Arabidopsis thaliana: one gene and its partner. The protein of the gene in region 2 interacts with the protein of the main gene of each other region in a biochemical or structural test. Each region holds a gene or a part of one and is shown on either strand. Other genes may lie near its edges. The genes, in order: AT5G61670 and PSY.

Region 1 (5,327 bases), about 19 Mb from region 2:
TATACAATAACGATGATCATTAACGTTAATCGTTTTGTATGTTAATGAAAATAGGGTACACAACTAAACGTTGTGGGAGATGGAATCAGAGTGATCACAGCTCATGCGGGAAAAAGCGCTGCAGAGAAAAGCGGATACTCGTTCGTCCACTGCAAGGTTACAGGGACTGGAACCGGGATCTACTTGGGTCGATCATGGATGAGCCACCCCAAGGTTGTTTATGCATACACGGATATGTCAAGTGTTGTGAACCCATCTGGATGGCAAGAAAACCGCGAGGCCGGACGTGACAAGTATGTATAGTCCAAAGTCCAAACCATAGTATATCAATCAAAAACTATGTGACATAAGTTTTAATGTAAAATGCACTGATTGATGAGCAGGACGGTGTTCTATGGAGAATATAAGTGCACAGGAACAGGATCGCACAAGGAGAAGAGAGTAAAGTATACACAAGACATTGATGACATAGAAGCTAAGTACTTCATCTCGCTTGGCTACATCCAAGGATCTAGCTGGCTCCTGCCTCCTCCTTCTTTCTAATGTAACTACCAAATTAATCAACCACTCCGTTTTAAATTACTATATTTGGAAGAAGAAAAAAAAACACAAAAACATGTAACTTGTTGTACTATTACATTTTTTTTGTTTTTCTGATATTGTAATTATTGGAGAAGCTGAGGCTTGTTTAGTGTTTTGCTTTTACAAGAAATAAGAGTACCTGGTTTACAAATGTGTTAGCAAATCTCTACTTAGCTTTGATCTTCAAGAAAAAAGAAGGAAAATATTTAAAAAGGCTTATACCAAATTTTCAAAAAATGCTCCAATTCTCACATTAAAATCTGAAATAGCAAACTTTTTTTTGTTTTTTAAAAGTGTCAAAAATGCTCTGTTTCCCAATTCATTCATCAATCTTGTGCTAAAGCTTGGTGATTTCGTGATCAGTAAGTTGAGATACGAACTCAGGGATGTCGCCGTGGTATAATGTTGAAGAGATTGAAGTTTATGAATCTTAAGGTTTCTTATATTCCCTAGCTCTCAAGAAACAGAGCATGTAAGCTCATTCATTGGTCTGAAGAAACAGAGTTCTTGACATACACTAATTCTGCATGAATTGATCCTTCGTTTGCGCCACTGAAGCTATGTTACCCAAAGAGTTTGGTTTCTAAAGTTCCCTTGTTCTAGGGTCTACGTGCAGATTCTGGTGAAGAAAGTACTGGTGATTCTTCCAAACATATACGCAAAACGCAGCTTCAGTAAGTACATGGCTCGTGCCTTTCACAACATCAAGTTTCACCATTCTCATTCCTGCACCCTCCGTATGGGAGCTTTCACTCATGGTGTTAAATGAGCCACTCGCGCCACTCTCTTGAGTGGCTGGGAACCTTGAGCCACACACACACACCTTATTCCATCCTTTTTTCTTCTCATTGGAACTGAAAACGTTTTAGAGCTCAGAAACAAAAACATAATGTAACATGAAGGAAAACAATATGTTAACATGAAAAAAGCTTTTTTGCTTAGTGGAGAAATCAAACATTACATGCCGTTTTTCTGTCACAACTCACAAGACGTACACAACATGCCGGTTTCGAGTTGTTGGTTGTTTAGAGAAGACATGTCTAACATTGTATTATAACTTTAATTGTGTGTATATACAGATCAAAGTATGCGGTTCTAATTATTTAATCAGTACATACCATTTTTAGTTACACTGACAGAATGAGATTCTAAGGAAGTAGAATGTGTTGCAAAATTCAATCGAAAGGGTCGATACGAGGATCATGCTCACTGGCCATAGCCATTCCTGTGCACAGACATGTCGGGCACATCACCTGAGCATCAAACACATACAACTTAGTATCCACACCTTTAGGTTTTGTGTTTTATATGTTTTGGTTTTTGTGTGTTTTACCTTTCCGGCACCTGAACAGTTTGAACATCTTTCGGTTTTGGGCGGTGATAGAGAATGATTCCCACCAGCAATAGCTGAGACTGGTTCAGTTAAAACAAGAGCACCTGTGCTAGAGCAACGAGCACATGCTAGATACCCTGTGTTATATAAGAATATATGTGAATACATATTGTAGAACCACCAGACTCATTTTTTAAAAACCATGTTTGAAAGGAAAAAGGAGAAAAAGTAAGCCACAATACCAGTTCCTAGACAGTATTTGCATCTCTTGTGCTCTTGCTGCTTTACGTTGTTAACTTCTACTACCATCAAAGCCGAAATCACACCAACCGCTCCTCCAGAAAACGACGCTACTATCGGGTCCACTTGACTGTTATTCAAATGAACACACAGATTAAGCATCTTTTCAAGAAATATTATACGAAAAACGCAATGAAGATGCGAAAAAACTTGACAGTAGTTTGAAAGAAAACTCAAAGAAACAAGTATTAAAACCTCAATTGCATAGGTAGATGAAGGCTTTGAATGAAATCTGCATACGATGTACCTCCTATACCTAACTTCAGCTCTAGCTGGCAAAGAGTACACGTTGAAAACTATATTAGAGGGAACAAACAAAGCCAATCTTGAAAAAACAAGGCGTAGCAAAAGCACTTACAGTAGGAGCTAGTAGACCACCGAATAGGATAATCCCCGCGATGAGTGAGAAACAAGTTGCGTAATAGACTTTCAAATTGGCAGCAGTCTGAATATCGAAATGTATTTTTATAATCAATTCAATCATGCAAGGGAGGGTGAAAAGAATCACAAATCTTGTAATAAACTCACCAATGGAGGTAAGAATGGGATAAAAGATGGGAAATTAGGTAATTCATGTTCTTGTTCTTCGTTAATGATACCAAGTTCTGTGTTTTTAATCCGTTGTTGTATTCTTAGCCTCCGCACCTACCACAAAAAAAAAGGAACAGTATAAGAAAGGTTTCTACTTTAAGAAACAATTGTGTACTAGTAAGTAAGTACCTCTTCCATGTGCAAGAAGATCTTGTTTCGTCGGCTTCGAATGTTATCTTGAATCTCTTGTAATTGCATTTTGGCAAAGTCCTGTACTGTTTCAGGCCCTTCTATTATACAAAACCTTGAGCAATCCAACAAAAAAAATTGATTCTTCCTTTCATTATCAATGAATACGCAAACAATCAAGCTCTGTAGTTTAAAGCAAATTCAGAATACCCGGAAGCGAATTTATCGGCGGAGGATTCAGAGTCGAGTGAGGAAGATTCAGGATCCAACGCCGTGAATCGCCATCTGAGTCTCCGATTTCGCCCTAGTGAAGAAGACAGCTTATACTGTGAAAACCGCCAAGTGTACGGATCCGGTGGGTAGGAAACAGACAAAATCCTACCCAAAGATGACATCTTTTCGATATCTTCAGCACAAGATCGATCATACAGATTAGTTTTGCCTGCTCTTAAATGGTCGGTATTGTATAGTGAGAATTGAGAAATCGAGACCGAAAGAGAGCAACTCTGCTCAACTGTATGTACGTGGCGAGTTCGTATTGGTGCTTATTATTTTTTAATTTCACACTTGTCTTGTTGTTTAGGTTTGTTTTGAGAAAACTTGTGGTGGCAGAATTCTTTTGTTGCTGACTTGGAATTTTTTTAAATGGATAATTGATGAATAATTGATTTTTTTGTTGTTGTTGTTGTTGTTGTGAGTGCTAATAAGATATACTTTCCACTAATTTAAAATTATGTGTTCTTTGAAAATAAAATTGTAACATTCATATTTGTGTGTTATATACAATAGTCAAACTTAGCAAGGCTTTGAGTTTAGTTTAGGGGATAATACGACCTACTAATCTCCCAATTAAGATTAATAATCCAATTCTGGATCCTATTACCAAATTAGCCTTAAAAATGTGACAGTTTTGATGAATTTTTTACGTCTAAAAAACGAATACATAGGCCATGAGTTTTGAAATACAAATGGGCCGAATCAAATTAAACTAAATGTTTGGTGGGTTTTATAAACATTTTTCTAACTAGTAAGGCCTACTTAAATATTTCGGCCCAATTAAGCCCTAATCAAACAAGGGTTATGGAGAAACCCTAGGCAATTAACCTATAAATATTAATTTCAATTAATCTTCATCATCAATCCAATTCCTGGGTTAATTAGCAATCGCCTTTTCCTAGTTCTTCTTCTTCTATTATGATTTTTTGTTAATTCGGAAAGAGAAATCGTGGTGATGACTTGGAAATATTCAAGCTCAACAGACCGTAATGTAGGATTTTTCCTAGTGGAAAGTCTTGCGTGTGTCGATAATCCCGCTGAACTGAGCGATTTCTCCTCTTCCAAACTTCAAATATTTTCGAATATTTTTTTCCGATTTTCTTCTCATAATCTTTTGGATTCTAAAATTTGGAGATTACAATGAGGAGGATCCGCAACTCCCTCTTCCGATCTTTGATTTGACGTTAATTGGCTTGAGTGATCTCTTCCTGTTACCAAACAAAGAAACCTTTTGTTTGAACAAAGTATCTGTTCCCTCCATTCCAAATTAGGATCTAGCCGATGGAGCGTTTTTTTTTTTTGATGGAGCGTGTTCTTGAACAAATTTTGTTAAATATCTCTGTCACGCATTAATTCCTAAGAATACAATAGTCATAAGAGATATAATTATATGACGTATCTGTAGTTTGTTACCAATATAATGTTAGAAACGCGTAGAGATACATAGTCAAAGCACATATGCATGTGATGATGCTTTTATATAAAAATCAAATGATGCATTTTTGTGCTAAGTGTGTAATAATAGAGGAAGTGGGTGGAAATAGTAGTCACTAGTGAGGGTCCAGCACGTGGCACTACTTAAGCGTCACAGAATGTTGTTACTAGTAGAACCCTTGGGCTCTCGACCAAATCGAAATTTTAAATTATACTCCGATATGAAGAGGAATGTGCCTACCTGTTTAAGTCCACTATCACAATTGATCCATATATACGTAAATCCATTATCTAGATATTTTTGAAACTAAACAGAGGAATGTTGTCTAAGAAACACGAATACTAACAAATAGGGACACTAATAATTGTACTTTAAAAAATAATAATAATAATAATTGTAATTTGAAGAAAAAATTAAAAAAAAACTTCGACGATAGTGGATTGGGAGCTTTCAGATAAAATTTTGGGGGTAGTCTTTTAGATGTATGTAATAAACGAATATAGGTTATGTAATATGGATATTCGATCATATCGTAAAAGAGACATTAGACATAACATATGGTAGTTGCTCCACCGTAGGCAGTTGTGCGTGTGGACCGCTTCACCGTTGAAAATATATGAAAAGTTTCCATCATTCCAAAAACAAATCCTTTAGATATTTCCTAGAGCCAAAAACATACAT
Region 2 (5,967 bases):
CCCTCGTGATTAACCTAATCATCAAGCCTAGGTTAGGCGAGAAATGTGACGTCGTTTTGGTCGAGGATCTCAAAGTGAAGCTAGGAGTGGTCTTGGACATATACAATAACCGGCTTTCTTCGAACCGGTTTTTGGCTGGTGAAGAATTCACTATGGCTGATTTGACGCACATGCCGGCGATGGGGTACTTGATGAGTATAACCGATATAAACCAGATGGTTAAGGCTCGGGGTAGTTTTAACCGGTGGTGGGAAGAGATTTCGGATAGACCGTCTTGGAAGAAGCTTATGGTGCTGGCTGGTCACTGAATTAGCTCCAATTTATGATGATCTGAAGAACCAAATAAGCTTTATAGTTTCTGTTTTATGTTTGTGTTGTTTTGTACGTTTCAGTAATAAATTCAATATACTTTTAAGATTCATGTCAATGCTAAGACCATAGTTCTCTATTCTTAAGTTTTTACTCTATTTTTGAGTGAGATATAAAATGGGGTTAAAATAGAAGTGGAGTTTTTACATAGTATACAAGGTTACTCACTTGTACTATTATTCGAATATAAGAAGAACTTCTTTCTGTATGTATATCACAAGATTATTTCATCAACCAAAAATTGTATATCCCCTCATTAGGCCAAGAGAACTATAACTAAAATAAAATTAAAAAAAAAAATACTTTTTTACATTCAGAAAGATAATGTAACATTATAAGAATTTGCTTCCCCATTAATATGTATATATTAGTTAACATAATAAATTCGAGCCTAAGTTTTTTCTTAATCACAAAAAGCGCTCTTAGGTTGTTTTTGTTCCACTTTCCTCTCGCTCTCATATCGATAGTCTTGAACTTGAAGTCTTTAGTACTGATTTAGCATAAGCCAATGGCAAAGCTGCAATTTTCTTGACTTTCCCCACATAAGCTCTCTTAGTAAAATTGTTGTAATCATTCGCTTCAATCTCGTCCAGTATTCTCCTGTACAATAGCAATGAAGCCCATACCTGAAACATTGCAGCCAAGTCCTCGGGGTTAAAATCGATCCAAAAGAAATAAGTAAACGGTAAACTTGCGGCTGAAGAGTGTTTTAGAGACACTTACAGGCCATCTGCTAGCGGCACTGAGCTCGGTGACGCCTTTCTCAGCTTCGTCGAAGAACATTCTTGCTCGTTTAAGCTGCATTTTCATGAAGTTTCTCCATTTATCAGTTACTTTTCCGGCGAATATGTCTTCATCTGAAAGACCAGCCTGAGCCAATTCATCCTGAGGCAGATAAACCCTTCCTCTTCTCGCACTGATAGTGAGAACAAAACCAATTTAAGAGAGATATGTGAATCAAGAAACCGGTTTAAAAGAAGCATGTGAAATCAAGAAACCGGTTTAAGTGAGATATGTGAAATCAAGAAACCAAAGCTCTATTTAAAATATATAAAAAGACTCACTCTTCGCCTACGTCTCTGAGTATGTTAGTAAGCTGATTGGCTATACCAAGGGCCAAGGCAGCGTTGTAAACACTTTCGGTTGTTGCTTTCGACTTAGGATCGATTCCCATAACCGGAACGCTCATCAATCCGACGGTTCCAGCGACGTAGTAGCAGTAAAGGTATAGATCATCGAAGTTCTGGTATCTCGATTTCTTCAAGTCCATTCTCATTCCTTCGATCATGTCTCGAAATGGCTGCAACATAAATAAACATTAGACCAAAGTTTTATAAGGTTTATTGCAATGGACTGAATGCAACTCTTAACTCATGTAATGAAATGAGGAAGTAAGATAAGACAGAGCAAGGCTGACCTGAATATCGACCGGGTATCTAGCAACTGTATCAGCGAGAGCAGCATCAAGCATATCGAAAGGACGACCACGGAAAAGATCTTCTAACCTTGCTTCCCATCTATCTAAAGCCATGGGAGTTATATGTGAAGCATTTGGCCCATCCACAAGTTCATCAGTTCTTCTACACCAAACTGCACAAAAGACAGAGTAAAACTATCAAATTCAAACCAATCAAACATATAAGAAAACAACTTTAAAATTCCCCATATGCTTTGGATACTAGTATGTCCTAGACAGGGGGTCATTAGAGTAAAATCTCCAGAGTTTAAGACCATTGGGCCAAAAAAGCCCATTAAAAACCCATATTAGTAACTTTTTTTTTTTTGGACAAACCCATATTAGTAACTAAGCTAGTCTTTTTGGGTCTTTATTCTTTATCTTCAAAGGGTGCAAATTTGGATGCTTGGTGTTCATGGACTTATCTTAGACACAAGGTAACCACACAAACTAACTAGAGACCTATCTTTCTACATGAGTGTAAGATTCAAGGAATCTATTTCAGCTTCAACTTCTCTTGTTAAGACAACTTAACTAGATACTAACCAAGAGCCACAATAGATTGTTTGTAGAAATCTACTTTGAGCATCACTTTATCCTACAATTATAATCAATGTTGACAATGCAAATATTCTAAAACAGCTCTTCAACCATTGGTTTTGTGCAGTAACTTACCGTAGATTGCCCAAATCGCCTTTCGCCTTTCGGGTGTCATAAGCAAAGTTCCTGCAACACAAACATTAGAACTCAGAACACCACTCTACATTACACCAAAGCCAAAGAAGAGTTAAAAAGATCCATACCAAGATAAAACGTCTTAGCATATTCAGCGCAAACTTCACCGCATCGATCATAAGCTTCACCCAACAAACTCAAACTCCCAGGAAGAACAACATCTTGTGGTTTCTTCACATCAAGGTCATAAGAAGAAGACCTTAGCTGTTTGTTCACCAAAGCAGCTTGTTTCAACACAACATTGTAAACCTTCTCTTCAGATGAAAGAGCTATCTCTCCAGAAGGACTTGCTACTAAGCTTGAAGACACAACACCAATTCTTCTACTTCGGTTCCTTACAAAAGAAGAACTCCAAGTTGGTATCTGCTTCTTCTTACCTTTGTTTAGTCTCTGATTCTGACAAGGAGAGAACAGTCTAGAAGATTCTAGAACCCTTACCAACCCACAATTGTTCATTGGGTCTGGATTTAGAGAAGAAGTAGCAACCCATAACACTGCTACAGAAGAAGACATACTCAAGTTCTTGAGCGCGTGAGAGAAAAATCTCAACTTTTTTAGTTTTCTTCTGTTGACTCTGTTTCTTCTACAGTTAGAAGAATCAAACTCCCAACTTTTTTTCAGTGAAACCCAGAATTGGATCAAACTGGTAAAAGACTAAAGCTTTCCTGCAAATTGAATACAAAAACAAGTAGATTAGGAATCGAGATCTCTAAATCTGTATATAAAGCCAAATTTAAGCGAGATGAGAAACTCAATTTCTTCAAGCAAGTAAAATAGCGAAGAGACACAAACATAAAGAGGAAGATCTTCAAAAGCAAATGAAGAACATGAAAAGAGAAAAAACAAGTAAATCCTCTAATCGTATTGGCTAAATACTCAACTGGGTTCAACTATTTTCCACTCGAAAACAAATTAGATTATGTATCGTTGTGTTACATCAACATTAGGTATAAGAGCCCAAAAGTATCAAAACAGTGAACCACATGGCAGATGAAGCTTAACCAAACGAGCGAAAATGAGTGATGGACACAAAAGCCTACCTTTCTCTCTGTAAGAACAATAGATACTGCGACAAAACTTTGAAGAAGAAGGAGAAGGAGGAGGAGATTGTCAAACACTAAATTAATCAAAAGGAAGAGCAAAAGGTTTGACCCATTAATGTGAGAAGATCCTCAAGAAGTTATATTGCAACGCTTACTGTAATATATGTACACAGACAACACAAGTAGATGATGCTGTCTCTTCCTCTATCGTAAAAAATTCTCACCCACTCAAATTTTCTTCCTTCTTTGTCTTTTTTTTTTTTTTTTGCTGGGTTTTAATGAGAATCTTGCCAGTATAAATACAAAAGTCGTTATTTTTATTTTTTGGGTCTATATAGTTTTTTAATTTAGTTTTTGACTGGCGAGATGCGACTCTCGAGTGACTCGTGTCTTAAATCAAACCTTAATAGTTTTCAAATAAAGGTAACTATCCCAATATTAAAACCCATTACCTATTTAACATGTTTTCTCTTCTTTTTCTTGGCCAAATTTATGTCTTATTATTTAGCTAAATTGATTCCTGATCAATTAGAAAGTTTGGTTAATTACATGTTTGATTTATTCATCAATTGGGCAACAGGTTGTAATTGTAAATTAATAGCTCTAAATTGATATTTGTATTACAATATTTCTTATATAAATGTAATTTAAGCCTTTATTTGATATATATTATTTAAAGCAACATTAGAAAATGATGTGATTTTAGCCTATTATAGTATTCAAAAATACAGAAAGTGTATTTATTTCTAATTTACATTCTTTTTTCTAAACTTTGTAAGTTTTCAATTCAAAAACAGAAACTACATCATCAAATTTAACAGATATATTACAAATAGTGATAAAAATGTGACGAAACATATATGTCGTTTACTAAATCGTATTCAATATAAACATTTATCGGTACTCGGTGAATTAATTTTAAAGAAAAAATGATAAAGTAATAATAATTTCACAAAAATGTGCAATTGTACATGAAGATTGAAGAACTCTATTAGAAACATTAATTTCATGTGAATTTATATTTTAGATATTTAGATTGTAATAAAAAAAAAAATTGTCCCTATTGGTGATGCTATGTTAACAAACTCAGCCTAAACCAAATAAGGATGTAAATACATATATGTTGTGGAAAGAAAAAAAAAAGAGGCATAATCATGGTAAAATACATGTTGTGTTACGAAACGTAACTATATATATACAGTAGCTTTGGATCATTGCTAAAATTCTACGAGGGTTGCGTAGAAAACTTGATCCATCTCACTATTTTATGGATTACCTTTCAAAATGTATAACGTTTTTTGTAATAACGTGGATTTTGCTACGAACATGATGAATCAAGAGTGACGCATTTTGTTGTGGAAGAAAAAGTGAGACATGTCACTATGGAGATGGGATCAATAGTTATTTAATTACATAATTAAAATATAATTAGAATATTATATAAGTCATTAAGTAATTGTTGGTAGAAAGGACAATAGGGGTTTAGGGGTGGGGTCATGCCAGTTTGGGTAAAAAAGGATTAGCAGAAGAGAGATCAGAGAGATGCCACGTGGAGCCTACGGCCAATGGGAGAGCGATAAGCTTATCAAAGATTTCAAAGTGCGGAGGGTAAAGTGGGCGACGTTGCTTTTCCACGTGTCAATGTTTCATTGGTAGGAAAAGTTAAAAGTTAGATTTCCGCTTAGTCGGTATTTGGGTCCCATACTGTCTTCGCAACTTGGCCCTCTCTCTTGCGCTCAGAAGGTTTTGTCTTTTAAGTTTCTTCTTGATTTTGGTTTTATCCTTTGTTATTTTTAGTCTGGTCCGTATTTTCTCCGTATCTTGTTTCAAATACATTCTCTCGTAAAGAAACCGCTTTTTTTGGTTTAGTACTGAATGATAAAAGTATTGTTTTCGTACGAAATTTATGTCAACCGCCCTAGTTCTAGAGGATCACCTAGACCATATGCATGGGACTTGGTCGAGCTTCGATGTGGATTAGCCCGAGTTATCAATAGAATACTGAAAATTGGCATAATTAACTTTGATTTAATGGAAATGCGTTTTTATAATATACTGAAAATTTAACAGACATGATGATTGATGAGTAGTAAATTTCAAATGGTATAACAAGTTTAATTGTTTTTTTAGTAAGTTATATATACTGACCAAGACGTTTTTGTTTGAGTCAGTGACTATCACTCTTTGTTTTTACTCAACTTAATTCCATAGATCCTGGTACTTATAACGTGTACAATCTAGAATCACAAGCGTTTAGAGATAGTGATAATTAGCTTGGCTACTTTCTCAGCTGTGTTGTTGCTTGATCGAAGGTGGAAAATGAGAGTGGTCATATTGAAGTTCTTGCTTAGTGCTATTGTTAAT

Evidence for each region.
Region 1: the proteins of PSY (region 2) and AT5G61670 form a complex in vitro, tested with the Arabidopsis thaliana proteins (one study listed by BioGRID).

Annotation. Positions count from the first base shown.
Region 1 is NC_003076.8:24,781,632-24,786,958, reverse strand, and holds AT5G61670 (orange protein), read right to left. Parts: upstream 3,531-5,327; 5' UTR 3,331-3,530; coding exon 3,146-3,330; intron 3,051-3,145; coding exon 2,936-3,050; intron 2,861-2,935; coding exon 2,744-2,860; intron 2,661-2,743; coding exon 2,574-2,660; intron 2,488-2,573; coding exon 2,411-2,487; intron 2,286-2,410; coding exon 2,158-2,285; intron 2,053-2,157; coding exon 1,916-2,052; intron 1,836-1,915; coding exon 1,758-1,835; 3' UTR 694-1,757; downstream 1-693. Other genes in the region: AT5G61680 (Pectin lyase-like superfamily protein), read left to right, coding at 55-293, 384-543. UniProt on the Arabidopsis thaliana protein: Involved in chromoplast differentiation. Associated with a cellular process that triggers the differentiation of pro-plastids or other non-colored plastids into chromoplasts for carotenoid accumulation.
Region 2 is NC_003076.8:5,659,015-5,664,981, forward strand, and holds PSY (PHYTOENE SYNTHASE), read right to left. Parts: upstream 3,852-5,967; 5' UTR 3,442-3,851; exon of another isoform or gene 3,226-3,441; 5' UTR 3,074-3,225; coding exon 2,629-3,073; intron 2,552-2,628; coding exon 2,501-2,551; intron 2,417-2,500; coding exon 2,372-2,416; intron 1,960-2,371; coding exon 1,787-1,959; intron 1,670-1,786; coding exon 1,434-1,669; intron 1,286-1,433; coding exon 1,093-1,285; intron 996-1,092; coding exon 825-995; 3' UTR 599-824; downstream 1-598. Other genes in the region: GSTF12 (glutathione S-transferase phi 12), read left to right, coding at 1-308. UniProt on the Arabidopsis thaliana protein: Catalyzes the reaction from prephytoene diphosphate to phytoene.